4 linked regions of the Notamacropus eugenii genome follow. The protein of the gene in region 3 binds, or shares a complex with, the protein of the main gene of each other region. Links are inferred from orthologs where the notes say so. Each region holds a gene or a part of one and is shown on either strand. Other genes may lie near its edges.

The links.
Region 1: the proteins of ARF1 (region 3) and IQSEC2 are in contact, whole or in part, in a crystal structure (PDB 6FAE), measured with the Homo sapiens proteins. The link is inferred for Notamacropus eugenii from reciprocal best matches to the Homo sapiens genes ARF1 and IQSEC2. Residues at the interface, in NP_001019397.1 of Homo sapiens: Arg19, Gly24, Leu25, Asp26, Ala27, Lys30, Thr31, Ile46, Pro47, Thr48, Ile49, Gly50, Phe51, Asn52, Val53, Glu54, Thr55, Thr64, Trp66, Asp67, Val68, Gly69, Gly70, Gln71, Lys73, Ile74, Pro76, Leu77, Trp78, His80; in NP_001104595.1 of Homo sapiens: Arg810, Gln811, Gln841, Arg845, Val846, Gln847, Gly848, Glu849, Ala850, Gln851, Val853, Glu854, Glu858, Asp879, Phe882, Ile883, Phe886, Ala887, Ile889, Leu890, Asn892, Thr893, Asp894, Tyr896, Ser897, Pro898, Ser899, Val900, Arg904, Met906.
Region 2: the proteins of ARF1 (region 3) and AP3B1 are in contact, whole or in part, in a cryo-EM structure (PDB 9C5B), measured with the Homo sapiens proteins. The link is inferred for Notamacropus eugenii from reciprocal best matches to the Homo sapiens genes ARF1 and AP3B1. Residues at the interface, in NP_001019397.1 of Homo sapiens: Glu17, Arg19, Tyr35, Ile46, Pro47, Thr48, Ile49, Gly50, Phe51, Asn52, Val53, Glu54, Lys73, Ile74, Leu77, His80, Tyr81, Asn84; in NP_003655.3 of Homo sapiens: Glu52, Asn54, Pro81, Val84, Lys85, Val87, Ala88, Asp111, Leu112, Leu114, Leu115, Ile117, Ser118, Thr119, Gln121, Arg122.
Region 4: the proteins of ARF1 (region 3) and AP3D1 are in contact, whole or in part, in a cryo-EM structure (PDB 9C5B), measured with the Homo sapiens proteins. The link is inferred for Notamacropus eugenii from reciprocal best matches to the Homo sapiens genes ARF1 and AP3D1. Residues at the interface, in NP_001019397.1 of Homo sapiens: Tyr35, Ile46, Pro47, Thr48, Ile49, Gly50, Phe51, Asn52, Val53, Glu54, Trp66, Lys73, Ile74, Leu77, His80, Tyr81, Gln83, Asn84; in NP_003929.4 of Homo sapiens: Lys48, Asp50, Phe77, Ile80, Glu81, Ser84, Asp107, Met110, Leu111, Thr112, Thr113, Asn114, Gln115, Arg117, Lys118.

What each region holds. Positions count from the first base shown.
Region 1 is NC_092879.1:102,346,696-102,354,172, forward strand, and holds the start of IQSEC2 (IQ motif and SEC7 domain-containing protein 2), read right to left. Parts: upstream 3,001-7,477; 5' UTR 2,929-3,000; coding exon 1,805-2,928; intron 1-1,804. UniProt on the Homo sapiens protein: Is a guanine nucleotide exchange factor for the ARF GTP-binding proteins.
Region 2 is NC_092875.1:472,068,147-472,076,149, forward strand, and holds the start of AP3B1 (AP-3 complex subunit beta-1), read right to left. Parts: upstream 3,007-8,003; 5' UTR 2,981-3,006; coding exon 2,808-2,980; intron 1-2,807. UniProt on the Homo sapiens protein: Subunit of non-clathrin- and clathrin-associated adaptor protein complex 3 (AP-3) that plays a role in protein sorting in the late-Golgi/trans-Golgi network (TGN) and/or endosomes.
Region 3 is NC_092872.1:9,976,043-9,983,967, forward strand, and holds the start of ARF1 (ADP-ribosylation factor 1), read right to left. Parts: upstream 3,004-7,925; 5' UTR 2,846-3,003; intron 2,692-2,845; exon of another isoform or gene 2,538-2,691; intron 1,458-2,537; exon of another isoform or gene 1,363-1,457; intron 1-1,362. UniProt on the Homo sapiens protein: Small GTPase involved in protein trafficking between different compartments. Modulates vesicle budding and uncoating within the Golgi complex. In its GTP-bound form, triggers the recruitment of coatomer proteins to the Golgi membrane.
Region 4 is NC_092875.1:64,317,985-64,325,460, reverse strand, and holds the start of AP3D1 (AP-3 complex subunit delta-1), read right to left. Parts: upstream 3,014-7,476; 5' UTR 2,672-3,013; coding exon 2,576-2,671; intron 1-2,575. UniProt on the Homo sapiens protein: Part of the AP-3 complex, an adaptor-related complex which is not clathrin-associated. The complex is associated with the Golgi region as well as more peripheral structures.

The sequences.
Region 1 (7,477 bases), on a different chromosome or scaffold from region 3:
CCTCTTCTAGCAATGTCACTGCCAGGCATTTATCCCAAGGAGGCCAAAGCCAGAAAGAGAGGCCCGAGATGGATCCAAGTATTCATACTAGCCCTTTCTGTGATCACCGGGGAATGGCCAGACAAAAGTGTGAAGCCTGTGAAGGTAATCCAATGTTGCGCCAACAAGAAACAATGATATGAGAAATTCTGAGCAAGGTTGGGAAGACTTGTATGAACTGAGCAACCACGAAGAGATCCCATCGTCACCATCATCACTGTGTAACCAGCATTTCTATGGCTAACATACCCAGGAACCCCAATCGGAATTGCACAGGGCTATACAATAATCGACAACAGGAAAGAAGAAAAAGACAGGAGGGCTCACAACAGCCCTCTGACTGTTCCACACTCTGTCAGACCAGGTGTCTTTGTTTTTCCTTTCTAAGAGAGGGGACTGTGGGCACAATGTACAGTCAAAATCAACATGCATTTTTAATAAAACCTAGAAAATGCAAAAGCAAAAAAAGGTGGCTTCCTCTCGATATTGGATGCAGTCCTCAAGCAAGGGCTTGACCAGTGCGGAGGACAGTGGAACTATTCCCTTCCTTTTCCTTGATAGGACTGGGGACCCTATTGTCCCGTAAACCCCAGAGCTGCCACCCAAGCCTCTTGGGCTAGCGTTGAAATGGCAGGTAGATTTCCCCAAGACACAAGGCTTCCTGACCCCCAGCCCTGCTCTGGGGAGAAAGAGGGAAGTCAGGCAAGGCAGACTGGGAGAAGACCAAGGAAGCCCTCCAGGGTTTAGGGTCCCCCTCCCCAGCCTGACTGGCAGGGCAAACCAAGAAGCTGACCCAAGCTCAAAGAGCCCCTAAGAGCCAGAGCTGAGGGAGCTAGGGCACCAGCTTGTGTGGGAAGCTCCAGAAAAGCCCCCCACCCCCAGCCTTTCTTATTTTTACTCTCCCGTCAGCACATTAACACATCCCCTGCTTTTCCACCAAGACATACCTGTCTTGGGCAGTGACCTCTAAGAACCCATGTGAGCTCAGCTGCCATAACCTTCCTTGCACTCAGTATCAGATAGACAGACCAATACAACCAGAGACACACAGAGCAAAGACAGAAAGTTGAGGTCGAGAGGCCCCAAACACATACTATCTTTGGCTGCTGCCAGGCCAGATGGAGAAGGCCCTAGAGGGACCATAGCCAGGGCTGCCCATCCCCAGAAGCCATCTCCCCTACTCCCAGCAAAGGAGGAAATTTGCAAATCGACCCAGAGTGTCTCCTAATCTCTTAGCAGAAGGGAGACATGGGCTCCGGAGAGGAGTGGGTGAGGGTGGGCAGTTTCCGATCCTCTGCAGCCCCTCCTCCGGGGCTGGGGGCAGGAAGAGGGCCATGGGGCTCAGAGCTGAGGGCTCAGCCTCCCTCTTAGGGTCACAGACGCTTAGATCGAGAACCGAAAGGGACCTCAGAGGCATGACATCCAATCCCCTCATCTTCCAGACATGGAAACTGAGGCTCGGAAAGGGAAAGTAACTTGCCCAAAGGCACCAAGGGAGTAAGCAGCAGGTTTCCTGACTCCAGCCAAACGGGGCTGGGCAAAAGGAGGGGGGAGGAGGCTTCGGGGATCAGTGCCTAGGGGCCAAGGCCACCAGAGGAGCAAGGCCCCCAATCCATCGGCCTCCCCGCATGCCTGTGTGATCCTCGGGTCCCGGGCTGAATCGGGGCCAGCTCCCACGTGCGCGCAGGCACAGCCCTGTCCCCCGCACCCCCCAGCCCCGCACGGGAGCCCCGCACCCAGCCCCGACTCCGCCGGCCTGCCTTACTTTCTCCGAAGCGTCGTGGCCGGGCTCGTGCTTCCGCTGGTGCTGTGGCCCCCGCCCGCCCCCGGACTGGAGCTCCTGGAGGCCCCGCGGCTCATCTGGCCCCGGGGCGGTTGCGGGGGCTGCTGCTGCGGCGGCGGCTGCGGCGGCGGCTGCGCCTGGGGGGGCTGCGGCGCCTGGGGGGGCTGCGGCTGCGGCGCCTGGGGGGGCTGCGGCGGCGGGGGAGGCTGCTCCCCCCGGGCCCCGCCGCCCCCCGCTCCCGGGTACGGAGAGGGCTCCTCGCAGGGGCGGTGGCGCCCGCCGGGGCAGTCCCGGCCCGCGCGCTCGTGGTGCAGGTGGCAGGGGGCGCCCCCGAACGGCCCGTCCCTCTGGGGCTCGCCCCGGGCCGCGTAGGGCGCCTTGGCCGCGGAGGGCGGCGGGGCCCGGGGCGGGGGGCCCAGGCGAGGCTCGCGACGCAGGTGCAGGCGCTGGGTGTCCCGCAGGTTCTGGTAGGGGCTCTCCCGGGCCTGCAGCGGCCCCGCTCCGGCCGCGGCCGCCGCGCCGGCGCGCAGGTCTCGGTTCTCCCGGCTCAGGCGGTCCACTTGGCCCTCCAGCTCCTCGATGCGCCTCCGCTGCGTCTCCAGCAGCTGCTGCTGGCCCTCGATGATGTTGTTCAGCTCCAGGAGGTATTCCACGGCGCGGCTGGGGCTCTCCCCGGCGGCCCCCCCCGCGCCGCCCCCCGACTCGTCCATGGGGGCCCCGCGCCACAGCCCCCAGAGGCAGCCGCCTCGGCCTCCTCCTCCTCGCTGTCCTCCCCCCCCAGGGCCCGGCGCTGGCGCTGGGGCCGGCCCAGGGGGAGGGGGCCGCCGGGGGCCGCGGGCGCGCACGGGGGCTGCGGGCCCGGGGAGGGGGGGACGGAGGCCGGGGGGGCGGCGGGGGGCCGGCAGCCGGGCCTGGGCCGGGGGGGCAAGGAGGAAAGGAGGACCGGGCGAGGGATCGGCGCCGCGGAGCTCCCGGCTCGGCTTCGGGCTCCGGCTCCGGATCCGCTGCGGAGTCACTGCGCAGTGCCCCGACCGAGTCCGCCCCTGGGCCCGCCCCCTGGCGCTGGCTCCGCCCCCTGGCCGCCTTCTCGGCCCTCCTCCGTCCATCAGTCCATCCCTCCTCCGGGCCTGCCCAGAGCGCTGGACGCCGCGCCCGGGGCCCGATGAGTGGGGCGGCGCTCCCCCTCGGCAGAGCTTCCGGGGCCCGCCCACCGCCGGCCCTGCTCCTCCCCCTCGTGGGTCTCCCTGAGCCCTCCGTTGCCTCCTCCCTCAGGCTCGGTTGCACGGATCCCTCCCCAACTCGGCCACGGGACTGGAGGGGAAGCAAAGTTGAGCGGGCCGGGGATGGGGGGTGCGGGGGTGCCCAGATGCACCCCTCCGGTCTTCCCCTTCCTTCGACCCGGGCTTCCGGGCTGGGTCTTGGGATCCTGGACAGGTGAGAAGGGGAGGGGGGGGGGGCAGATTGGGCAGCCTGGGACAACTGGATTGAAAACGGGGATAAAGCGCCCACTCCGCCACCTGGCCTTTGCTCAGGCCCGCCAAGAGTGCCCTTCCGAAGTACCAAGTGCGGGGTGGGACCTTAGCCAATGAGTCGGTCAAGAAACGTGTTAGCACGCACTGCGTGCCAGTGCCAGGCACTGCGATCGCTTCGAGGGGTACCTAAAATACAAATAAAAACACAATTCCAACGCTCAAGAGGCTTATAATTTAATGGAGGTAGAAGCTGAAGGGAGGGCACAAGGTGAGTCCCCCCCACCGTGGAACTGGTGGGAAAAGAGGACGAAACCGTGGGCAGCCGGAGGGGCCAATCCGAGAGACAGAGGGGACAGAGGACAGGTGGCTACACAGGCACAAAAAGTCTTGAAGGATAATGACAAGTTACTTGGGGAAGGAAGCTGTGATGGCTCAGAGCAGTGCAGCTGGTGGGAAATGGGTCTCAGTTTCCCCAGAGGAGTTGGCAGAGATGCTCTGAGAATCAAAGCATCAATGCCTCCAGAGGGAAGGAGAGATCGGTGTTTAATCTGGAGGTCCGACTCAGCTAATTAGCCAGCTATCCTGAGGGCCCCCAATGGGGGTGGGGTTACCCACAGCCCGTCACAGAGGCAGGCTCTTATTTCCAGCCCAGCTCCACCACCTGCCGCCACTGCCGCCGCCGCCCGCCGCCGCCGCCGCCACCACCACCACCACCACCACCACCACCACCACCACCAAGATCACCGCAGCCACCACACCTGGCTGCCTCGGAGCATCCCAAGCCGGGGGAAGTCTTTTCTTCCCCAAGCCCTGAGCCTAGCCTTGGGGTCCCTCCACCAAAGACCAAACTCCCACATTACTCCGAAACCCCCAAGCAAGAGAGAGCGGAAGGCAGAGGAGAGGGAGAGACAGATGGACTGACAGACAGAACTCAAGTAAAACAGAATCCACCCATGAACATGACTAATGTGAAAATGTGTTTAATAAGAATGTATGTGTAGAACTCATATAAGATTGCAAGTCATCTCAGGGAGGGAGGGGGAGAAAATTTAAGACTTATGGAAGTGATTGTTAAAAACTGATAACAAACAAATTAAAAAAAAAAAGATCCACCCATGAGCCTCCACCAACTTCCTGGCCAGCTTTTTCACCTCTGTGCTGCACCCCAATCTAGACCCCCCTCCCCCTCCAGTCCAGCTCCCCTGGCCCTGCTTGCCCTTCCTGGTCTGTTGAGAGAGCCAGGCCAGACCCAGCCTCCACCTCCCCTCACCACATTCCCAGCCCTGGCCCTCACTTTTTCCTCAACCTTCCATGCCTCACCCCTTCCTTTGGAGGTGGGGTCAACATTGGGATCCCCTGGAATCCCCAGGAAGGGGGGCAGATCAGCAGGGAGAACTCCAGAGACAGAGTTCCTAGGGCAGTGAGCAGCAGACCAGCTCTCTACTGCAGTGACCATTTAAGCCTGAGATGGGGAATTGCCATGCCCTCAGAGTACGAGGTCCCACCCCTAATGGGGCAGACAGAAGGGGTAGTTAGCAGTGAGGATGAGGAGGGAGCTACAGGAGAGGAGGATCCGGCCCCACCTTTTTCCCTTTAGTGAGTCCTGGCCTCTGACTCTGCCAAGATCTTTCCCTGCAGACTTCTCCCTTCCCCTCCAGAAGGTGGGAGCTCTTTGGTAGTGGGGCTCCCTGGCTCATTGATCTCCATCTCCCTCTACTGGCAGGACCCAAGAATCAAAGACTGGCAGAGAACTGAAAGAGGACTTAAGCAATCACTCTCCTAGAACCAGGGCTCATTCAACTGCACAGAAGAATCCCTGGGGGCTGCAAAGTGACTTAGAAAACCACATAGCAACATTATCTCTGTTCAATTGTATGTTTTTTTAATTTTGTTAAATAATTCCCAATTACACTGTAATCTGATCTGTCAGCTCAGTGTTACAGGCAGCACACATGAGAGCCTCTTTCCTGGCGGTCGTCAATTTCTTTTGCTTCATCCTCATCCACAGCCAGATTCCTCCCAAATCTCTCTCGAAGGCCCTCCTCTCTCAACACTCTCTCACTTGGTAACCTCCTCAGCTCCCATGGGTTCAAGTCTCACCTACCTATCTACGGGGTCCTAATCTCCCTCCCAAGGCCCTATTCCACATCACTACCTAACTGCCTGTGGGACATCTCTTGGATGTTCTGTAGCTGGCATCTCAAATCCAATGTGGCAAAACTGGGGCACATTCTCTTTCCTTCCTCTGGGTTTCCTTATTTCTGGTGATGGCTCCACCTCAACCCTTCCAGTCACCTCAGCCTCAGGGTCATTCTCACTAGAGACCTAACTCGAAGGTCTATATTCCTCTTCTCTCCACTTACAACCCCCAAATCGCTCCTCTCTAACCCTAAATGCCTCATCCCTACTCACCTTATTCCTCCTCACTGAAGCCTCCAGTCCCTCCATCATTCCCTATTCTTCCTACTCTGGCCTCTCTCCTCTCTTCATGGCCTTGATGTCTAAAGGACCTCTTCCCTTGAATCCCCCGCCCTCTGGCCCCAGGACACAAGCCTGAATTACCCTCACCATCCATTTTCTCTACTCCTGCTTTATGAGAAAATCGAGCCCATCCATTTTAACTCCCTCTCCTTCCCCACTTTGTACAGCCACTCAGCCACGTCCCAATTAGTGCAAACAATGAATTCCATGGTCACATTATTCAAATTCCATTGGGCTAGAACCAATTACGAGACTGTACACAATCAAAACTTTGAATAGTCTAGATTCAAATGTGTGGGACCACTTCATGGCATTGACTGTTGACATCAATCAGGACCTGGCTATGCTTCAAACTACCTTGACATCATCCCCCACCTCTCTCCTTTTTTGCTCCAGTCTCTCCTCAGTGACGTGACTCTTCTCCTCACCAAGGTCAACCACTTGACATGTGCCCTTCATCCCATCTCCTCCAGATGCTTGCACCTTTGGATGGTCCCCACCCCTTAACCCAACTTCAGTCTCTTCCTTTCTCAGCCAAACTCCTAGAAAAAGCTGTCTACAATTGGTGCCTCCACTTTCTCACCTCCCACTCACTTCTCAACCCCTCACAATCTGGCTAATTCCGACCTCATCACTCCACTGAAACTGATCTCTCCAAGGTTATGAATGATCTCTGCTTAATAGCCAAACCTGATAGCCTTTTCTCAGCTGTCACCCTGACTCAGTTTCCTCAACTACAACAATGATATCCACATCCTAAAGTTACTGTGGAGTGTATCGAGGGAGATAATGTGTGTGAAGCACTATAGAAATCATCCCCACCTCTAAGACCTCTTTGCAGTTTGGGACAACCATAATGGTCTCCACCCTCTCCTGCTGGCCACTCTCCTCCTGCTTGTCTGCTCCTTCTCTGTCTCTGCTGGAGATGTATCTATCTCCTGCCCTCTCACTGCAGGCACCCCAATGCCATCCTGGGCACTTCCTCTGTGTGTGTGTGTGTGTGTGTGTGTGTGTGTGTGTGTGTCTTGGAAGCAGTTCCCACTTTCCTTTTGAGCTCCAGCTTTATGTCACCATCTTCCTCCTGGACATCTCCAACCTGACATGTTCATGAAAGCTCACTATTTCTGCCTGGATTTGGAACCACAATCATCCCCCCTCCCCAGGTCCTCCCTCCTCCATTTAATTCGCTGTCAAGTCCTACAACATTTCTTACGCCCCTTCTCCCCAGACTTTCAGCACTTCTCATCTGGTTCCCCCATCCCAGTCTCATCTTCCCAAGGCTATTTCCTTGCTCCAGAAGTTTCAAGTGACTCCGTGGGGTCCCTAGGGCCAAATCCAAGCTCTTGCCCTGCTTTCAGTGACTGCCTCTTCATGACCTATGTAGCCTGGCCTATTGACTGTTGACATCTTGCCATTCCCCTTCCCCAGACCCAGCCTTCTTCAGGATTCAGTTGAGGTGCTGCTTCCCACATAGTGGGTGGTCGTGCTGGTCTTGGGATGCAGCAGGTGCAGAAGAGATATGTAATACATTGGTTAGAGGGCCTATGGAGGCCAGAGTCTGCTTCCTGGTTTTCTTGAGGTCTCTAGCGCCTGTCAAAGTGTAGACGCTGAAGTCATGTCTGCCAATGCGCTGGAGGAATGTTTCTCTTCCCAGGTGATCAATTCCTGTTCCAGCGCTGGCGCTAGGCCTGGGGTCAGGAGA
Region 2 (8,003 bases), on a different chromosome or scaffold from region 3:
ACAACACCGAAGGAGCCTGTAGATCCCACACCAAGTAACAGCACAGCTGTTCCACTAAGAAGTTCCAACTGGCTCAGCCTCAAAAGGGCATAAACAATACCAGGGAAAGGAAAACTCCCACGGGTGAAATATTAAAGCAGTACCCACTAACATTAATTTATAAGTATCCTCTTTTATGAGTTCCTCCAGGAAAGGAAAATGCCTATTTTCTTTGTAATTTTTCATTGCTCCTAAAGTCACCATATAGAGTTATTACTGTATATCCCACTAATTCAGAAGACTTGGAGAAAAGATGTCAGAATTATGAAACACTTTTCAAAAAGGCAGGTTTTACTTTCCAGTACACAGAGTAACAGAAACTTTTAAAATGTCGCCAAGAGTACTCTAAGAAACTTAAAATGACAAAGAAATACATGTCTTGTACCAGCTGATAACGATGACCTCCATGTAACTTCAAACTATCTTTTTGCTTGCACACTCTCTACAAATGAATGTTGGCCCAATCATCCCAAAGTTTGGGAGGGAAATGCTTTTTTAAGCAAACTAAATATTTCCTATGCAAATATTCCCTCTTGTTTACGCTACGAATTTGCTCAAAGTTCACGGATACAAAAACATCAGCCTACTCCACACACACAAAAAAAATCTTAATGAGAAGCCTTTGAATTCATGAATACCTACGGCCTTTACTGAGGTAATTCCTCCCTTCGTAACTACTTTCAAAGAATCACAAGTACATTACTCAGGTCCCTTTTTTCTCCTTCTTAGTTTGCTCTCAACTCTCACTGCTTATTGCCGGCTCTCCCAGAAATGCCTCTGTCTGCTCTCACCTTGCACTGTGCACCCTGTTTTGATGCACTGAAAAGCACTTCCATTAATTACCTCACTTGGTTCTACACTATGAACATCTCTATTTAGAAAATGAAAATCCAAAGAAAAAAGGGACTTGCCCAGGGTTACAAAGTTATAATCCACTTGGTCTGTGAGGCAAAAAGATTTATCAGAAAAGAAAATTATGCCAGTGGCTGAGGTTAGCTGTGCTACTGAATTTACGTCATTGTAATATCAAAGTTAATAGCAGAGCTCCTCTGAGAAATGAAATATCTGCTTAAAAAAAAAAGAGAGGAGTAAATAGGGGATGCCACTTAGCCACAGCAGTTTTGAATATCCTATACGGAATATTTAAATTAGGTTACTATAAGAAGGCTTTTCCACAGAAATTTACATAAAGTCAGAACAATTCTTAAGTGTAAAAAAGTCAATATCCTGGTCTAAATTCAGATTCCAAACACCACCCTTCCTTTTCTAAATAAACAAAGTTTACACAAATTCTGTTCTCCTGCGAATACTTCAAAAAGAAAAAAAAGCAAGTTCTAATCTACTTGTTACTATTAAAAAACTTTGTTCTATCAAGCACAACGAAATCTTGGAAACACAAATCCATGTAACAGAATCACGAGGCCTTAGGATTCGAAGGGATCTTGGATCTTCCCTAGGCCCCCGCCATTTTGCAGATGAGGAAACTGAAGCCCAAAAGTCCTTGTCAAAAATAATCATCACCCATTTATGAAATATACACACAGATTAAGTGATAAGCACAATTTGGAGCCAATATTTCTTTAGTTTAAAGATAAAATTTCAATTTACTTTAGTAAAGAGAGATGCACTGTCACTGTTAAGGATGAAAAGAATTTCTTTAATTCCTTTTGTCTGTCGCCAATATTCAAGATAACCTCAAAGGTGCTGAAATAATAAATATATACATTATACATATGTATCACTACTAAATACATAAGATATAATACAATGATCTTAATTTCAAAGGTGAAATCAAATGATGACTTGAATCTGAATCTAGAAGGAAAACTGAAAATTTGGCAACAAGGATTGGAGATGGGAAGCAATTTTTCATCCAGAGAAAGAAATATTCCTAGGTTTAAGAGGTTAACAAGAGGTGACAGAGACAGAACCAGGTGGAAGAACAGAAAAAGCAGGTTCTTTACTTCAGTAGTTTGAACCATTTTACAGTGAGTAAACAAAAAAACAGACTGTAATCTCTTCTATTTACATTTCATACATGAATTACCAATTTCTAACTTTTCAATCTATTTATAATACTGGATCTCTTCACAGATGCAGTATGTTAAAAATGAAAAAAATGTTGATCTTTTATTGTGTTAAAGTATTAGACGTAGCTAGCTTTTAAAAATGTATATATAACTTATTAACCTCATATTTTAAAAGCTGTGTGTGTGTGTGTGTGTGTGTGTGTGTGTGTGTGTGATCCTGAAATGCAACCACTACTTATTTCTTCAGGCAAAAATGAAGGTCAAGTCTGATTCAGATTTAAATGGCTTTTCACCTTTAAGAATTTTCATACAGTTAGTATTACTCATTACTAAATGAAGCATTCCCTTAGAAGAGAAGGTTGGAAATGTAAGAGGGTAAAAACAAAACCCTAATAATCAACTTTAGGAACTGTTTATTCCATTATCTAATACAATGCTTTCATTGCTCTTTTAACCTTCCTCATAATTTACTTAGAAATTCTGCATTTACCTAAGTATCGCATTTAAAGCACTTTGACAAATGATCTTATAAAGAAACGAGCACATGAAAACATTCTGATATGAACTCATCAAAGGTAATGGAGACAATCAGGTTCTCCTACTGTCCTTAACTCTTTGATCATTAACCACCACTTGCCCTTTTTAAAGTAAAAGAACCCAAAAAATCTCTGGTTACAATTTTATCATCTTTTTGAAAGACTACTTCTCTTAACAATTTAGAAAGGTCCAAACACTTACCTAATAATAAAAGGACATTCAATTGGTTCAGTAACAGCATCTATGAGCCCTTTCTCTTCCACAGTTGGTTCAGATTTCAGCGTAACTTGGAGGGTCTCTGCTAATCCCAAAATAGATTTAACTGTAGAAGATACTGCACTAACATGACCCAGAAATGAAGATTCTTCTTCCATTATCTCAAGTTAGGAGAAATTGGCTGATTGTTTCATTAGAAATTTAATTATAAAAGGTTATTAAATTCTAAGACACAGGATATCCACTCCCTTCACTGAGCAAATGCCACCAAAAATAATGAATAATTTCAAAGTTCATTTTCCTTTAATAGAATTTCTTATCAACTTCCCTAGGTAAACAGATATGCCATTTGTTAAAAAAAAAAAACAAACAAACAACTTTTTTTCTGATCTCCCACACTTTGTGGTACAACAGGAAATGTTTTGTATCCCTAACAAAGCATCAAAAAACTAAGATACATGTATCAAACATCAAGTTACAAAATGCCACAAATTCAACTAGTTTCATCTGTTAAGAGAACCCAAACAAATCTTATTCCCAACAGATTTAATAAACCAGGTCACCAAGTCTTCTTAACAACCCTTATTTCTTCAAACAATGACAAACAATGAATGATGGAAATCACTGACAGAGTTCTCCAATATATCAGATGCCATGGTTTCTGAGCTGCTGATAAATCAGCTACTGACTTACATTCAGTGAAGGGTTTATGTACAATTTTAATGCTCATACCTACATTATGGACTTTAATTTCACTTTGGCTGTCTACTGTTTACTTAACTGTATGAGCTTAAAGAGGTCAATATTTGTCCTCCGTTTCCTCATGGACAAAAGGAGTTCACCCAGATCACTGCTGAGATACCTTCCAGCATTAAGTCTTACTGTTCTGTGTTTCTGGGGATTTTCTCTACCATAACTGTCAAATTTCTCACAGCCTCTCTGCCCTGTCCAATTCTGCTGAGGCATGTGACCATAGTGTCAACAAACATTTAAGTATCTATTCTATGCTGACCACTGCGAAAGGTACTACATGAAGGTAAAGAAACTTCATCCTGTCCTCAAGAAAATTAAAATCTAGTTGGCTTGTTATACTTACACTAGTAACTACTGAGCATATCAGAATGTGTTAAATGCACAAGAAAATTACAACATCTTGAGTTCAGATGGGAAAGGGATCAATCACTACTGCTAGGACAGAAATGAGATGGTTTATCCCATGAGTCAGTTGGGGGCAGGGAGGTAGGAGGAGGAAGCAGAATGCATCACAGGCACAGGAAACAGCAATAAAGGCAACATGAAAAGGAGAGAAAGAGCATTCATCCAGATGACTTCTTTTTATTGACATCTCTTATTTTTATACGGTCCTCATCCCACTCTCTTCCCCAGAGTCAAACCTTCTACCAAAGAATAAGGAAGAGAAAAAGTGGTGAAACAAAACTAACCAACACATCAACCAAGTCTGACAGGATTCGTAACATGTTCTGTGCCCTAAACCCTCAACCTCAGGAAATAGAGAGATGAGCATTTTCATCTCTTTTTCCCCAGGAACGAGCATGCTCCTAAGTTTACCACAACCCCCCCTTTTTTAATCCTTCTATTTATTCTGCAATAAGCATTGTGAATGTTCCTTTCTTGGATCTCACTTCACCTGGCATCAATCCACATACGCCTCCTCATGCTGAATTCTGCATTTTCATCACTTCTCATGGCACAGCATTATTCCGTTACATTTCTGTGCCACTATTTGTTTAGCCAGACACCAAAAGATAAGAATAGACTTTGTTTCCAGTCTGGCCATGGTAGCACTCAGATGGCAACATCCCAAGTTCAAGAGCTCCAAGGTTCCTAGAGGGTCCAGAACATTCAGCACTCCCAACCTCAAAGATGCAAGGGGGTACATCCTAGTTAAGAGAAAGAACCCAGGTGACCCCCTGATGAGAGCAGGAGAGATAAACACTCCACCCAAAAGCACATAAGGGGACAGAAGCTGAGCGTAGCACAAAGCCCCTATTCTAGAATTAAGGGTGGAAAGATGAGTAAACCAAATAAGACATAGATCATTATTAAAGCATTATAATAAATTCAGAGATATTTTCTTCTTCTAGGTTGGATTCTGGGGTAATTCCATTACATCTGCAAGGTGAGAATCAAAGGAAAATATAGATTTACCAGAAAGACTACATAAAGGACAAGAAAGGCATCAAGTAGTTTTAAAGTGAAAATGGTAAATGCTAACCAAGAATGGACCTCCTAGAAACTAGATTAGACCAAACAAAAATCAACAATTTCATGAAACAAGAAGAAATAAGACAACAAAATCAAAAGATTGAGAAAAAATGTAAAATGTCAAAAACCTGTGAAAGAGAATTTTAGATGCACCAGACTGAAAATCATGATTTAGGAAAAAGACCTAGATGCTGTATTTCAACAATTCATCATTGAAAACTGCCTAGATCTCTTGGAAAGAGAGGACAAAGTAAGGCCAGAAAAAATTCATTCAATAATTTTCTGAAAGACATCCCAAAAGGAAAGGTCCCAGGAATGCCACAAACAAAATTCAGACCTTCTATGTCAAAGAAAAAAATACTATAAACATCCAGAAAAAAAGTAATAATTCAGTTCAAACACCAAGCAACCACAGAAAAGATCACACATGACTCAACACCTTCAACTACAAACAAGAGATCTTGGCATAAGGTATTTCAAAAGAAACATTCCATGTGCTTCCAACCAAGAACACCTTAAGCTCAGGGGAAAGCTCAGGGGAGGGAGGAAAAGGAAGGGATAAATCTTTAAAGGAAAAGATCACAGTTTAGCAAGAACACAGGACTCAAAAGAAACCTAGACAGGTAACATTTTTGCCAGTGGGAAGGGGCTCAGGAAAGCTAAAAGGATAATGTTCTTCTGGGAGAAAAGAAATCTTTATCCCTCCAGAAGCTTACTGTCTTCATTAAAGGTCACAAGGTGACAAAAATACAGAGAGTGCAGGGATTGAACCTGGGAAAGTCTAAGTTCAAATCCTCTGCTTCAGATACTTAATTGGAGTGTGAAGTCACTTAACTTCTCTTTGCCTCAGTTTCCCAACCTGTAAATAGAGATAATAATAGAACCTAACTCTCAGGATTGTTATGAGAATCAAATGATGCACAGAAAACACTTCTGGGGGTTACTACTGTTATTATTATTTAGTTCTTCAAAAATTATTGAGGGAGTTAGATAAGAAAACAAAGGACCTCGGGGTGGACTGGTTCTGTTCTGGGGGTTTTTTAGAGGGGAAGAAGGGATACACTGATACACACAAGAAGAAGGAGGTAGAATTTACTATTTCTTATAACTGGGGTGCATTCAGAAGAGTAATAAACTGAAGAAAGAGGAAGTGGGAAGCAAAAGAATCTCATTCTTAACTGAAATACACAAAGGAAGATAATGGAGAGGAAATAGCCAAAAAAAATTTCCTAATCATTAAGTGAAAATTAAAAAGAGAAAAGGAAAGAAAAGAAAAAGTAAGGGGATGTCCACGAGGGAATGGCTAAATAAACAGTGATATATAAATAAAATGGAATATCATTGTGCCCTAAGAAATGACAAAAGATTATTTCAAAGAACCCTGAGAATTAAAAACAAATGTTCAGTAAAGTGAGCAAAAACAAGAGAACAATTCATACAAAGACATGGACAACTGGTAAAAAAAAATAATAACTTTAAACAGTTAGTTTAATAAGAATGTATGTGTAGAATCTGGGGTGTAGGGTGTGTTCAGGGAGGACCAGTACCTTTGGTGTGATGGCTGCTGAGCCCTTTTCAGGGCTCTTTCCACCTTTGGTGTCCACCTGTTCCACTCAACTCTCACCTATGGCTCCGAGAAACTACAGCATGCGCAGCGGCCACACCCTGGTAAACCGTGTCAGCAGATAGGCCAAGCCAGGTTGAGGGCAACCAAGGGTTCTCAAACCCATTGGTGAGTTAGAGGGGTGTCTACCCCAAGCATGTGAAGACTTCCTCTGGTGGAATGGGCGGATGAGAACAATATATGAAAACATCTGCAAAAATGATTCCACTCACCACTGGCACATGGAACATGCGCACACCAACAGACAACACAAAATCCAGCAGACCTGAAAGAAGAACTGCTCTTGTTGCAAGAGAACTCAACAGGTATCACATCCAAATAGCAGCCATGAGTGAAACAAAGTTGGCAAATGAAGGCCAGCTTACTGAGGTTGGAACTGGATACACCTTTTTCTGGAGTGGGCGCAGTGAAGGGGAGCACTGTGAAACTGGCGTGGGTTTTGCAACCAAAACTAATCAAATCAGCAAACTGGTATGCCTGCCAAAAGGAGTGAATGACAAGCTCATGACAATGTGATTGCCACTCACAGGAAAACATCATGCCACCATCATCAGTGCCTATGCTCCCATCATGACAAACCCTGATGAAGTCAAAGAAAAATTTTACGAAGAACTAAAGACCCTTACCATCAATGTGCCAAAAGAGGACAAGCTTATCATTCTGGGTGGCGTTAATGCTGGATTAGGCTCAGACTACCAGACTTGGCAGGGAGTCCTAGGGAGGAATGGAGTGGGAAACAGCAACAGCAATGGTCATTTACTGTTGAAGACTTGTGCATCACATGACCTTCTCATCACTAACACTATCTTCCATTTACCTAAACACAATAAAACTTCATGGATGCGCCCTCACAGCAAACAGTGGCATCTAACAGACTATGTGATTATAAGGAGAAGAGACAGACAAGATGTGAGAGTGATAAAGGCAGTGAGAGGTGCAGAGTGCTGGACTGATCATAGACTTATCCTTTCCAAGCTAATATTTGCATCCATCAAAAGCGCTGACTCCAAGGCAAAAGGACTACCAGAAGAATTAATGTCAACAAATTAGAGTCTTCTCTGAGCTTGAACAGTTTGCTGCTGACTTGGAGGGAAAGTTGAGCCAACACACAGCTGACAACAGTGGAGCAGAAAAGGAGTGGGCAGCTTTCAGAGATTTGGTGTACAGCACTGCATTTGCTCATCTGGGTCAGAACACTCACAAACACCAAGACTGGTTTGATGAAAATGATGGGGAAATTCAGAAGCTGCTAAATGAAAAATGAGAACTGCACAGGATTTACCAGAAGCATGGTTCATCCACCTCTAAGAAAGTAGTACTTAATTCCATCA
Region 3 (7,925 bases):
AAAGTCAAACAGTACAAAAGAATGAAGGGATAAAAAAGGAAAACCCCCATCTACCTGCAAACGCAAATATCAGATCTGGTTCTCATAAAAACAAAAGTACACCTCTAACACTAAGACAGCAGTACACAAAATGGCACACAATGTAAATGCTTGATTTTTGTCTTTTTTTAAAAAAGGCTCACCACAACAGCCAACCATTTTTTGCAAGTACTCTGCTCCCTCCAAATCAAAATTTATTGTTAATCACTTACAGAGATGAAAAAGTTGAGATTGTAACTTTCCTTTGTTCCAAGTTACTCCTACCTTAAGTACGAGTTAGCAGGTACTAGGGTGTGTGGAATGCCCTTGTCATGTTGGGTAAGAGGTAAAGTGAATGGCTAGATCACATGATTAAAAATGCAGAACTGTTAGGGTGTAGGGCAACTGCTTTTTGCATGCCGACTATAAATCTTGCTTCAGTTATTTCCTATCTTTTAGAGTTGTAACAGTATCAGCTCCCCTCAAATGCTGAATAACATTTCTAAGAGTATGCCAAAACAAACTTTTTTTTTTTTTTTTAGAACAGAAGCAAGGGGAATTATGTGACATCCTTTTGAGATAGCCAGATACCTTCAGACTTGGGGGTTGTAACTGGTGAGCTGAGTTACATGGATAGACTGCTTTGTCCGTATATTTCCCTAAAATCATAGTCTATCACCCAAGTACTGGAGAGAACACATTTCAGTAACATGTGAAGATAAACAAACTAGGCTTGTGATTAATTTTTAAACCATTAAACTCCTTTTAACTTTGGCCCCAACTAACACTTGGTACTTCAAGGTCTAACAGTTTGAATCACTGACTATTACTAAAAACTAAAGTTAACTGACAAATTCATCCTCTCATAATACTTAAGTTTTAGTTTAGGCAAAGAACGATACCTAAGACTAGGACGGGTCACTTAGATGTGTAATCCTATGTTTTATATTTGATTAGAAGCACTGATGAAAAGATGAGGATAAAATTAGCATTTTACAAACTGCTGAGGAATTGTTCTAAAAGAGTAACCAGGAAACTGCTCCATCTCCATAGCCCCCCTACTAACTAGCTGTATGACCTTGGGCGTGTCACCTAACTCCCTCCCCCAACCAAATGTTCATTTATAAAAGGGGCAGAGTGGACTCCAATCCTCTTACGTCTAAAACTCTATGATGACATATTCTAGGAATTGTTTCCAGTGGCATCTGAAAATCACTCCCAAATTTATTTAAAACATCACTCAGTCTTCACAAATTCTCTTAAATCTCTGACCGGGCTCGAGGTGCCGTCGGAATAAATTAGTTACAACGAAGTGCTGTGTAATTAAGTTATTATCGGAATTACATTTCTACACGCGGTTCACAACCAGGATTATGCAACAGCAAGCGCCCAGCGGAGTCACTCCAGTGACGGAACTGTTCCTCCATCCCCTCTCTACATCTGGCCGAAGGGCTGACCCTACGGCAGGGACACCGAGCACAGGTCCACGACGACCACCGACAGCAGCCTGGACACCCGCTCCCCGAAGGTCTGCCTCCGATCGCAACGTCGGCGGCCAAGCACGCCGTTCTCCCGGGATCGGCACTCGGTGTAGACCGACCGCGCTCCTCCACAAAGGCCGGCGGTGTGGCAGTCGGAGAAGTCGGTCCGAGCCCCAGCCTCGGGTGACCTTGGGCAAGTCACCTCCCTTGCTGGCCTCGGGGCACCCAGCCGTGACCCCCTCACTCCGAACCTTAGGGGCGTGGGGTCGGAATCCGTCTACACGGCATTTCCTACAGCTAGGCGTTATTACAAACCCGACCAGGAACAGAAACCGGGATGCCTCCTCCTCCTCCCCCCTTCCTTCCTCCACCGCAAAATGACTCAAAGCCTCGGGCTCTCGGCGGTAACCTCCCTGCGGGCGGCCGGAGAACGGCTTCGTGTCCGCCTCGGGGTCGGGCCGGCTCCGGCCTTCGGTTAAACATGGCCCGCCCGGGCCAAGGGGGGCCCGAAGGAAGCTCGGCGGGGCCGAGTGTGAGAGGAGGGAGACCCGAGTTCGAACCCTGCCCCCGCTGGCCTCAGTTTCCCCATAGGGAACCGGCGGGGGTGGGCCTCGAGGGCCTCCAGGCCCCCGCTTCCGCCCCGATCCTATAACATACTAACAAAAGCTCCGCAGACACCCCACGACCCGCCGCCCCGCCCCCGCTCGTACCCGGCTCTCGCGGCCTTGCCGCCTCGCACACCGGAGGCGCTTCTCCGACCCGGCTCTCTGGCCTCCGCGGTCCCCGCCCCACCCCAACCCCGCCGCCCCGGCCCCAGGCTCCGCGCTCCGGGCCGCCCCCTCACGAACCCCCCCCGCCGTGGGCCTCCCTCGGTCGGAGCGCGGCCTTCCTCGCCGCGGACCGCCCCGGCTGGGCCCGGCCGCCTCGGGCCTGGCCTGCTCTGGCCCCGCTCCCGTCACCTCCCCCGCCCGGCCCCGGCGCCGAGGACGGCCGCGGCGGGGCAGGGGCCCGGGGTGGCGGAGGGGGGCCTCGCCTTACCTCCTCGCCCCTGAGCCTCGGGCTTCCCGTCTCCTCACCCGCGAGCGGCTGCCGCTGCTTCTTTTTATCGGCTCTCCAGGCGTTGGTTTTGCTCCCACAAGATGGCGGCTCCCGACGGCAGCCACGTCAGTGCCAGGGAGGGCCGTGGAGGGGGCTGGGTAATCGGCGGGCTGCGTCACCGCTTCGCTCCGCCCACTCCCCCGACTTCCCGCCCCACCCTTCCCTCTATCTCCTCACCCCTCCCTCCCTTCTTCCCTCCCCCAAGATTGCGGGCTAAGCGCTTCCGAGCCCTGCCGGGCCCTTCCTACCTCACTCGTCTGTCTCCCGGGGGCCCTCCGTGTCCTCCCCTTGTGCGCACGCTCACAGGCCGCTCCCCCACTCCTTTCCACTTTTACGCGCACGCATGCGTACCGCTCCCTTTCTCCCTGCCCTGCCTCCAGCAGGCCCCGGCCTGAACTCGGAGAACGCAGGCTGCGCATGCGGCCTTGGTCTCCTACGCTCTTTGCCCTACTTCCCGGGAGCCTCTGTGGGGGCCGGAGCAGGCAGGGGTCGGCCTCGTTTTTCGCTATGTAAAATCATTCGTAAATCGAAGCTCTACCAAAAAAACCCAACCACTTTTAGATTACCACCCTGCCCCCCCCTTAACTAACCGGACTTGTTTATTAATTGATTCCCTGGGGAAAGGCTTTAAGAAAACAATGCTTCTCTCCAACACCCCCTCCCCCTCTCTGTTCATCTCTTTAAGGTGCCCACCTGCTGGGGTCCCGTGCCCTCCAGGCGGCCAAATGCCCCCCAAGCCTTCCTTCCGCGGGCTCTCACGTGGCTCCTTCCCTAGGCCCTCGGGGTGGGGGTCAGCCGCGTCCACCCGACCCCCTCCTTCCTAAGGGCCCCGACACCGCGGGGGGCGAGGCCGGCCGGACCCCGCAGCCGGGGCCCCAACGTGGCTTTTGTGCCTTTAGGGAGACTGAGGTCTGCGGTGGCACAGGGCCTGGCGGAGGGCGCAGCCCGGACCCCGGACCTCCGGACCCCCGGACCCCGGACCTCCGGACCCCGGACCCCTGGACCCCCGGACCCCGGACCCCGGACCTCCGGACCCCGGACCCCCGGACCCCCGGACCCCGGACCCCGGACCCCCGGACCCCCGGACCCGGCTGGCCGAGCTCCAACGAGGCCCCGCGGAAATGCTCAGTCACTCAGAAACCCTTATCAAGGACCTAGTGTGTGCCAGGCACAAGCACTAGGGAAATGAGAAAGACAAAGGGCTGGCCACCGTCTACGATCGTCCTCAGCATTAGTAGGGTATTGTGTAATGTGCAGCGTCCATCGTTATCAATACATTATGTCATATGCAGAGACCGTTATCAATACATTATGTCATATACCATGTCCATCGTTATCAATACATTATGTCATATGCAGAGACCGTTATCAATACATTATGTCATATGCAGCGTCCATCGTTATCAATACATTATGTCATATGCAGAGACCATCGTTATCAATACATTATGTCATATGCAGCGTCCATCGTTATCAATACATTATGTCATATGCCATGTCCATCGTTATCAATACATTATGTCATATGCAGCGTCCATCGTTATCAATACATTATGTCATATGCAGCGTCCATCGTTATCAATACATTATGTCATATGCAGAGACCGTTATCAATACATTATGTCATATGCAGCGTCCATCGTTATCAATACATTATGTCATATGCAGAGACCGTTATCAATACATTATGTCATATGCAGCGTCCATCGTTATCAATACATTATGTCATATGCAGAGACCATCGTTATCAATACATTATGTCATATGCAGAGACCGTTATCAATACATTATGTCATATGCAGCGTCCATCGTTATCAATACATTATGTCATATGCAGCGTCCATCGTTATCAATACATTATGTCATATGCAGAGACCGTTATCAATACATTATGTCATATGCAGCGTCCATCGTTATCAATACATTATGTCATATGCAGAGACCGTTATCAATACATTATGTCATATGCAGCGTCCATCGTTATCAATACATTATGTCATATGCAGCGTCCATCGTTATCAATACATTATGTCATATGCCATGTCCATCGTTATCAATACATTATGTCATATGCAGCGTCCATCGTTATCAATACATTATGTCATATGCAGCGTCCATCGTTATCAATACATTATGTCATATGCCATGTCCATCGTTATCAATACATTATTATGTCATATGCAGTGTCCATCGTTATCAATATATTATGTCATATGCAGCATCCATCATTATCAATATACTATTATGTCATATGCAGAGACCGTTATCAATACATTATGTCATATGCAGCGTCCATCGTTATCAATACATTATGTCATATGCAGAGACCGTTATCAATACATTATGTCATATGCAGCGTCCATCGTTATCAATACATTATGTCATATGCCATGTCCATCGTTATCAATACATTATGTCATATGCAGCGTCCATCGTTATCAATACATTATGTCATATGCAGAGACTGTTATCAATACATTATGTCATATGCAGCGTCCCAGCGTCCACCGTTATCAATACATTATGTCATATGCCATGTCCATCGTTATCAATACATTATGTCATATGCAGCGTCCATCGTTATCAATACATTATGTCATATTCAGCGTCCATCGTTATCAATACATTATGTCATATGCCATGTCCATCGTTATCAATACATTATGTCATATGCAGTGTCCATCGTTATCAATACATTATTATGTCATATGCCGTGTCCATCGTTATCAATATAACATTATGTAATATACAGTGATGATCATTATTAATATAATATTATGTAATATACAGCATAATACTATCATAATCTTTCTTCCCCATTGACCAGAGCTTACTTAGCTCTGGGGAAGAGTCAATCCACAATATAGTGTTTATTAATTAAAACAAACTGAATGTGAAAGGTGAAAGGACCAGCTTTCTGGAGTTAGATCACACAGGGTGCCCCAAAGTCTTAATACAAGCTTTTTTTTTTTTTTAAGCTATAACTTAAAAGTGAAGTTTCATTTTTACTTTAAGCTTAAAAACTTCACTAAGACCCTTGGAGGGGCAGCTAGGTGGTGAAGCGAACAGAGCATCAGTCCTGGAGTCAGGAAGACCCTAGTTCAAATCTAGGCTCAGACCATTTACTAGTTGCCCAAATCACTTGAATAGGCTTCAGTTTCCTCATCTGTAAAATGAGCCGGAGAAAGAAATGGCAAATCACTCTAGTGTCTTTGCCAAGAAAACCCCAAATGGAGTCACAAAGAGCTGAACAGGACTGAACAACAAAAAGCCCCGTGGGACACTTTGTATATTTTCATTGATTTAGATCTGAAAGGGAGGTCCAAACCCCTCAATTTCAATCAATAAACATTTATTAAGTGCCTACTATGTAAGAGGCTAAGGTCTGGGAATCCACAAAGAGGCAAAAAGCAGTCTTATCCTCAAGGAACTTACAGCCTAATGATGAAGAAAAAGGCTCATAGTGGTAAAATTTGTCCAAGGTCGTATGAAGTAACAAGGAACAGACTTGGAATGCAAATGAGGAAGAACTCTTTCCTCTGTCTATACTTCCCACTAAGCTACTTGGGAATAGGTCTAGGACTAATTAGGAGGTTCCAGGCTGGACTTTCCCAACATAGTGCTTTAGGTCACCATTTTAAAGAGTTATTGAATCATAGGATCATAGCTGTAGAGAGGGAAAGGGACCTAGAAGTCATTCTGTCCTATACCCTCATTTTACAGGTATAGCTGAGGCCCAAAAAGGTCACTTACCTCAGATCACACAGGTAATAAGTGGTAGCTAGGTGTCACAGTGGATAGCCTGGAATCAGGAAGCTCTGCCCCCAGTCACTTAATAGCTGTGAGATCCTGGGCATGTCACTTAACCTGCATCTGCCTCAGTTTTCTCAGCTGTAAAATGGGGATGATAATAGTACCTACCTTAAAGGGTGAGAATCAAGTGATACAGTAACTGTAAAGCCCTTAGCAATGCCGGACACTTTGGTGGTGTGTTCACTTGCTGTTCAGTCATGTCTGACTCTTCAGGACGTCGTTTAGGTTTTCTTGGTAAAGATACTTAGGTTGGTTGCCATTTCCTTCTCCAGTTCATTTTATAGATGAGGAAGGGTGAAGTGACTTATCTAGGGTCACACAGCTAGGGAGTGTTTGAGGCCAGATCTGAAATTTGACTTCGGGCCCAACACTCTATCCAATGTACCACGTACCTGGCACAGAGTAGGTGATTAAGAAATGCTAGCTTCCTTCCCCCATCATTGTGCCATCATAATGAAAGGCTGAAAATCTGTAGGGATGAGTTGAGGCAGAAAAATAGACATTTCAGCAACATTCACTGTGTCCTGCCCTGTTCTGGTGCTGACCTCCTGATCTTGACTTTCCTGTCTGGCCTCCAAATTCCCACTTCTATCTTAGACCTCTTGGTTTTGGTTTATACACACTTGGGTCTCAGCCCTGGTGATAGCATAGTGATAAGAGCTGAGCTCTCAGGGATGTTGAAATAAAAGTCACCAGCAGGGATTTTAAAGTATTTACCATGTGGCAGGCACCTTGCTAAGCTTCAAGGTTACAAAAAAAGGCAAAAAGCAGTTCCTGTCCTCAATGAGCTTAAATTCTGGTGGGGGACACAACATGTGAATAACTTGTGTGTCTAAGATATATTCAGAGTAGATTGAAGGTAATCTCAGATAAGGCACTAGTGGCTGGGGGAGCTGGGAAAGCCCACCCTGCAGGAGATAAGATTTCAGCTGGGCCTGGTGGGAAACTGAGGCAACACATGGGGGAATAGTCAGTATAGAGGAAAGGAGACAGGAGCAGAGGATATTATGAGAAACAGGAAGTATCTAGGCCCACTTCTCCATTCATTGCACCCACCCAACTACCTATAGAGGACATAGCTATGAAAGAGATGAGAATTGAACCCATGGGGAGCAGATGAGATCTCCAGGTGAGATTGCATGGAGTGAAAAGAGGAGGCTCTGGAAAGACACTTGGGGGATCCCCAGAGGAGTGCAGGAGCTGGCTCAAACCATCTCAGGAAAGCCTGTTGTTAAGTTTTCCCCCTGGGAAATCAGCAAACACTACAAATTAGGACTTGATTTATTGTTTTGTCTGGGTTTAAGAAAGTGATGGATAAAATGTTGTTAAAGTGGATTAAATTTAACAGTGTGCCAGGGGACATACTTCCCCCTCCCCCTTCTCCCCAGAGGACTGATTGTTAAATATTTATCAGTACATCACTGGGGGCACACAATTAAGAGTGCATGATATGAATGAAGGGCCAGCAAAGGGGACTGAGGAGCATTTGGACTGATAGAAAGAGAACTAGAACAA
Region 4 (7,476 bases), on a different chromosome or scaffold from region 3:
AGGTGCCCAAAGTCATGTCCATCATTCAATGAATAGATATGCTTTACTTCTTTACTCAGTCCTGCACCCCAACTCAACAATTTCACTATACCTAACTGTCGATTAAGTTTGCTTGGAAACAAAAACTCCATTACTCGAAGCTACTAATTATAATTAGTCTGGAAGGGGAATGATTAAATCACAAATACCAGAATATGCATTTCTTCACTGAGGGGTCATTACTCTTTTGTTTTATTAATTAAAAAATATAAACATAGCTAGAAAAACTCAAAAAGCACATAGACTAATGATGGGGAGTTAATAACCAACTCAAGAATCTGTGAAACTCAGCAATTTTCATATTTCCCGGAACTTGGGAGTGTTTATTTTGAAGAAGAGAAGACTTAAGAGAGACAGAGCAGCTGACTCAAAACCATAGCTTTAACTGATGTATGAGCAGGAAGGAGATTAAGATGTTTGACTTGAACAAGATGATCTCAAAGATACCCTCCAGTTATTTGACTCTATGCTGCCAACACTGTTCAGAGCATCCTGTTCTTCCACTGTTTTAGAAGCTGGAGGAGTACAGGATGGAACACTGATAAAGCCCTCCCTTCACCCATGTTAGACAAAACAAACAGGAGTTCATGGAAGTTCTTACTACTGCAACTGAAATGACAGGTATCAAGAGTGGCGACAAGACAATGGATGGCACATGCACCCCAGCTCCCAGCTCAGTCCCATCCTATCCTGTCCTCAGCTAGCCCTCTCTCCCACTCTAGTGTTCAAGAGGCTAAGATGATCTAGGCTGGATCTGGACTCAACAAGTCTTTTTCCTGAAGAGCTCTCCAACTGTGCTTGACTCTGGTACCGTTTCCTGGAATCAACTGACAGGTGTCAGATGGGAACCTGCAATGAAGAGTGCTGGCAAGCAGTCAGGTAAGCTGCACCTAAGGGGTTCTGGAGAGATGTTCCCACTATATTCCTTCAATTCAGTCAAAGTTAGAAGGTGTTTTTAAAGTACATCAGACAGCTGGTCCCTTAACAAATAATGCAGTCATGGATATAAAATATAGACTCTACCCAAGCTGCAAAAAATACCAGTTTCTTTTGAGTTCAGTTCATTTTTCTCTAAATGACATCAAAATATAGAAAAGCGTACATAAATGGAAACAAAGTGGCATATCCCAAGGGAATTTCCACCTTATCTGTCAATATTATACATGTAACAATAATTCCTACAAGAAATTAAATACCTGTTCCTTATCTTTACCCTTCCTAAAAAGCCTTAGGATAGGCAGGTATCATAAAAAGCAAATCACATCTTGTAAACTATTGCAGATACCGGACTACTCCTTACCAGTTTTTTTTCCCCCTCAATTTGAGTAAAGAAGAGGAAAATGAACTGTCCTCAACAGTGAGCTTTTTCAGAATGTGGCAGGATTTCAGACAACAGTGCTTGAGAAACAATAACTCCACTGAAACTGATCCTTACTTAGTTCCTTTCCCCAAAACCACAATAGCAGGATTCTAACAGTTTCTCAACATTTGTAACCGGGCTTGTAACTGTCTCATAAATGAGAATCAAACAAGAAAGGCAAACAAAATGCAAAGATGATAATATCTCAGTCTTTTGAAGTGTTCAATAACAGTCCTGTAAGACTAGATGTCGAGATATTCAAACTGACACCAGTCATCCAGAGCACAGAAAACGGTTTTGCCTTTTAAGGACGCTTCGGGAATAGTTTACAAGGTGGATACATTCAATGATACTGTTGCCACTTTTTTTCATACATCCCATCACATGTTTACTGAGCCCCTGCCGTGCAAGCCCCTTCTCGGTCTCAGTTTAGGGCCGGCTGAAGTCACATGCACTCTTTTCCTCCCCACACCCTATTTTCGGCTTCTTTGAGGTCCACTTTTCCACTCCCAAGGCCCCACTGCGGCAGGCCCTCGTCTTCTTCCTTATTTCAACTTTGATTGAATTATCGGGGATAACTCTCCGGCGGCAGACCAGGAAAGCGCTCCCGGGGAGGGTCACTAGATCGGGCAGGAGAGCTTCCTAAAGGCTCCCCGTGTCCCCCGCACCCCCAGTGAGGCTCAGCTCGGGGTTCGCCTGGAGTCCTTGCCCAGACCTGAGAGTAGAAATGAAACCATCCAAGACCCCGGGGCGTTGGGGGAAGGACGGGTGGGGTTCGGAGGGGCCGGGAAGGATTTCACAGCCCTGAGCACACTTCTGAGCAGCGCCCTGCACACAACAGGCGCTCGATAAATGCACGGTGCAGTAACTGCATAGATCAGAGGTGGTCAACCTGGAGGAGCTCCGAATTATACAAAGGGGGACATCGGGGATGCCCAACCAGAGCATCGGGGACACGGACACACGGGCACACACACACACACTCGGATTCAGAAGGGCCTTGAATGTGGCGGGGGGATGAGGAAGGCGCCCGCCACGGGGGCGGAGACCGGCTAGCCGGAGCGCCGCGGGAGGGAGGCGGCGGCCGGACAGGAGCCGACGTGGCCGTGCCACTGGGGGCGTGGGGGCAGCCCCTGGCCCCGGGCCTCCCGGCCAGGCTCGCGGGGCAAGGCTCACCTCGTCTTCCTTGTGGTTCCGGATGCCGCGGACCAGGTCCTGCAGGTTCTTGTCGAACATGCGGTCGATGCTGCCCTTCACCATCTTCAGCGCCATCGCGGCGGCGGCAGCGGCGGCCGAAGCCGGCCTGGGGCAGGGGCTGGGGGCGCCGGGGCGGAGGGAGAGGGCTGACGGGAGGGGGTCGCCGGGCTGGGCCTGCCGCCGGGGGCGCTCCGAAGCGAGGGAGGGAAGAAGGGCAGGGGGCCGGGCCGGAGGCCGTCACATCCCAGACGGAGGCAGCACGGGGCGGGCGGAGACGGCGGCGGCGGCTGGACCGGCGCCGGCTCGCTGCCTGCAGGATTCTTCCCTTAGTGCTCCCGCTCCAGTCAGATTGCAAATGGCGGACAAGATGGCGGCGTGGTCAGCTGACAGCTCTCGCCGCTCCCTCCTCCTCTCTTCGCTTCCCGTAGGCCCCGCCCCCTCATGGCTCCGCCTCCCTCCGAGACTGGACCCGCCCGGTTCCCAAGGACGCCGAATCCGGCTTCCCCCACCCCCTAGCGGCCGCGCGCCACGTTTCCTTAGCGACCCCTGGACCGCCCAATCGGAACGTCCTTGGCTCCTCCTCTCTGCCCTGAGAGGCCTTCCCTCCAACCTCTGACAAGCTCAGGCCCCGCCTTGGATTCTCCTCCGCGGGCCCCGCCCCATGGCGCGTAGCCCCACCTACTCAAGCTCCGAAACTTGTCTCACTGGTCACCTAGAAATAATAGTCACGCCCCTTCCAGACTCCTCCCCCCGTTTCTCTCGGGCCCACCCCTCCCTGAGTGACAGCTAAGGGGACAAACGTGAAAAAGACTGGGAGCGGAGCGTTGACACGCGTCCCTTGGAACACCCAGCCCCTACAGGCTGCCGGCTGCCTTGCTGCCCAGTAGCCTAGCAGGAGCTACCTGAATGGCCGATGCTTCCATTTTCTTTGGATCATTCCATTCATTCACTCATTCATTCATTCAACTGACATGTAATATGGATCTACTGCGTGCAGAGTGAGTGCCGGGGAAAACAGAAAGTTTAGAAGAGACAGAGTCCGGGTCCTCGTGGCGCTCACAGGCTGATGGCACCCACTCCGGATACTGCATGAGCAACACAGAAGAGAGATGTAGACTGCATGCTCTCTGGGGTGGGGCAGGTAGGTGGCCCTAGCCCGAGGGGGAAAGATGTGAGTTCATTAGCTGGGTGACCCTGGGCAAGTCACTTAACCTCTGCCTGCCTCAGTTTCCTCATCTGTAAAACGAGCTTTATAAAAGTACCCGCCTCCCAGAGTTGTTGTGAGGATCCAATGGAACAATATTTATAAAGGGGAGAGGGGCAGACAGCCTGGTTGTCTGGAGTGACAGGGGAAGGAAGGGATTTTTAAAATAGTAATTGAAAAGATGAAAAAGGTGTTTTTAAGTCATAAGATCATAGCTCAAGAACTGGAAGGGGTATCTGAGGTCATCTAGTCCAACCCCCCCTCCCATTTTAGGGATGAAGAAACTGAAGTAGTAACTGAATTCCAAACAGAAAACATGGAACCTTACATAGTGGGCAAAGCAAGAAAGCCTCTTAAAAGGGTTTCTGAACCTAAATGAGAGAACCTGTTGAAAGGATCTTAGACATCTCTTGCTTTAACTTTCTGCTAAGTGCAAGAAGCCTCCTCTATTTTTTTTTTATTGATGGAGTCATCTCTTTTGCCCTTCTAATGACGAGTTCTTTACCTGGAACCATTCTGTACCACTGCTGGTCAGCTTAAAATGTTAGAGATCTGTTCCTTCTATTTGAGGGTTTAGATAGATAGGTTTAGATAAATTGATTGATTTTGCCTTTCTGTTCATTCTCAGCACTTAGCATTGACACATGGTAGGTGCTTAACAAACACTAGTTGACTAACTGGCAATCAATATCCTTGTAGCTTCCTTCTATTCAATTAATCAACAATCATTTATTAAGTATCTATGGGCCAAACACTTTGCTAGTCATTGGGGTACAGGGAGAGGGGGAAGGAGAGAGAGGTGCTTGAGACAATGTTAACTTCCAAACTGGAATACTAGAGGGCATGTCTGGGAGGACCTAAGTCACTGGGATTTGTGCTCCTTGGGACCATTGGTCTTCACCTTCACCCAGGACATTTTCTGCCTTAAGGCCACCCCAAAAGGATCTCCTGTCACCCTCCCATTTCCCCATCTACTCCATTTCCCCATCTTATTCTGATAAATAGAATCCAATTATCATTATGTTCTCCTTTAATAATAATGGCTACCATTTATATAGCCTTTACTTTACAAAGTGACATATATGTATATATATTGTCTCATTTGATCCACACAACAAACCTATAAAATAGGTGCTGTTATTATCCCCATTTTACAGATGAAAAAAGTCCACCTTCAGGTCTGCAGATTACACAGCTAACTCTATCTATCTATCTATCTATCTATCTATCTACCTATATATATACATATATATATATATACATATGTGTGTATGTATATATGTATGTCTGTGAATATATATATCTGAAGCAGAATTTGAAATTAGGTCTTCCTAACTCCAAGTCCAGCACTCTGTCCAATGCACTACCAAGCCACCTCTAGAAAAGGCATGTCTTTTTTATTCAAGAAACCAAAATGTCAAAGTAGAAGGAAAAAAGTAGAGATCAGTTCTATACTATCACTAAACAATCTGATTAACCAACTCATCCCTTAGAAGAGTAGTAAATATCCAGATCCCCTAAGGGATGAAAGTAAAAGTCTTCAGGTGAAGAAGAAGTACTCAGCTGTAAGAAAGAAAACTGAAAGACTTTCTGCACTACTCTAAGAAAAACTTAAAAAAAAAATCCTTTGTAAATAAAAACAGCCTCTGCAAAGGTTTCCCATTGTTTTTAGGTGGGGAGGAAAAAAGTAGGGGAGGTCTTTAGCTGACATAAATAAAAATAAAGTTCCTCCTCTCTCCTCCTCCCTCTCAAAGAACAGGTCTCAACTAGGTCTCTTCCACCAAAGAAAGGCAACCTTGGATTTAACTAAGAAGTAAAGAAACGGCCTCTTCTTCTTCTCTCTCCTCATGTAAAGGAACAAACTTCAACCAAAGCTGATCCAAGGCAAAAAGGAAAAGGTGGGTATCTATGATGGAAGAAAAGACATGAGCTGAAACCACAACCCCAGGAAAGGGAAAGTCTGGCCTAAACACAGGAAGGATCCTCAATTTGATTTGATCCCTGGAGACATAGAATTCAACTGCTGAAGCCTCAGCAACAAAAATAAGTAAACAAAAAAAAGTAATAAAATTCTTTTATGATGCCAAGGATGACCAAGATGCAAATGTGGCAGAAGAGAATAATTTAAAAACATCTATAATCAAAGATTCAAAGAAACAAAAACAGTATGCCTATAAGAACAACAAGAATTCTTTAGAGAAACTGATGTAAGAATTTAAAAAAGGTATTATAAGAGAAATGAGAGATATGGAAGAAAGATTTGGGAATAGGATCATCTGCTTAACAGAAGAGAGATGAAAACTTACCTAATAACAAACTTAAAAATCAGAATGGAAAAAATAGAAATTAATGACTCTAAGGGACAAGAATTCTTTTTTTTTTAAGTCAAAGGATTAAAAAATAGAAGAAATATAAGTTATCTCATATCACAAACAGATTGAGAGATAACTTAAGAATCATAAGATTACCTGATCACATTTCAAGAAATCATTAAAGAAAAATTGCCTGGTTTTATATTTCTTACATTCTCAAAGGGCAGGGAAAGTGGAGTGGGAGGGAGAAAATATGAAACTGAATGTAAAATAAAATTGAATGGGAAAAAGAAAGAAAAATTGTCAGGACATATAAGAGTGCAATGAGAGGGGAAAAAAAGAACCTATGTATGACCTATCTAAAGACACTTTAAAAAAAATTCCAAGAGATGTCATTGCCAAAATCCAGAGTTTCCAAACAGAAGAAAAACACTATAAGCAGCCAAAATAAAAATCAAATATCAAGAAACCACAGTCTGGACCACTTAAGATTTAACAATTATCACAAGACAGGAATGGAGAACATGAAACGAGGTATTGCAAAAGGCACAAGATAAAGGTTTATAACCAAAAATTACCAACCATAATTAAGTATAATAATAGAAGGGAAAAAATAGATCTTCGATGAAATAGAGGACATTCAAACATTTCCAATGAAAGAACTAAAATTGAAAAGAAACTTTGAAATACAAATATAGGGGATAAAAAAATAAAAATGCAACTACAAATGAACAATCAGAAGGGACTTTATAAGAATAAACTGTTTACATTCTAATGGGAAAGGTATTCGAAAAGTTCTTTCAAAACCCTGATGTCACAAGGAATCACAGAGGTAGTCAATTGAGACAGAAGACCTATAGATAGTTTTACTATGTTTTGAAAATACTGTAAGAAAAAGGGAAATGAAGGAAGAGGAAAGGATACATTAGGAAAAACTAGGAGAAAAGATAGGGGAATTTGTTGCCACATAATTGGGTTGTACTAGTAGAACTATATATAAACATGCAAAGAGTGAGAAGGGGAAGAGAAATCACTTGAATTTTACTTTCATCTAAAATGATGAAAAAAGAGCAAAACACACATAGATGCACAAATAATATGGTATAGAAATATATTCAACTAAACAAAAACGCAGATAGGAACAGGAAGAGGGGGAAGGGGTATATACGAGGGAAGAAGAGAGGGATTGGTCATAAAACAAATCCTAAGCATGGAGAAGGGATAGCAAAGAGAAGATTAAAAAGGGAAAAAAAAGAAAGGTTTCTAACTTGAAATAAATGGGAAACAAAGAGCATAGAGAAGAAAAAGCCTAAGACAATAGAATGGGGAAAAATAAGCACTTTATCATAACTGTGAATGTGAAT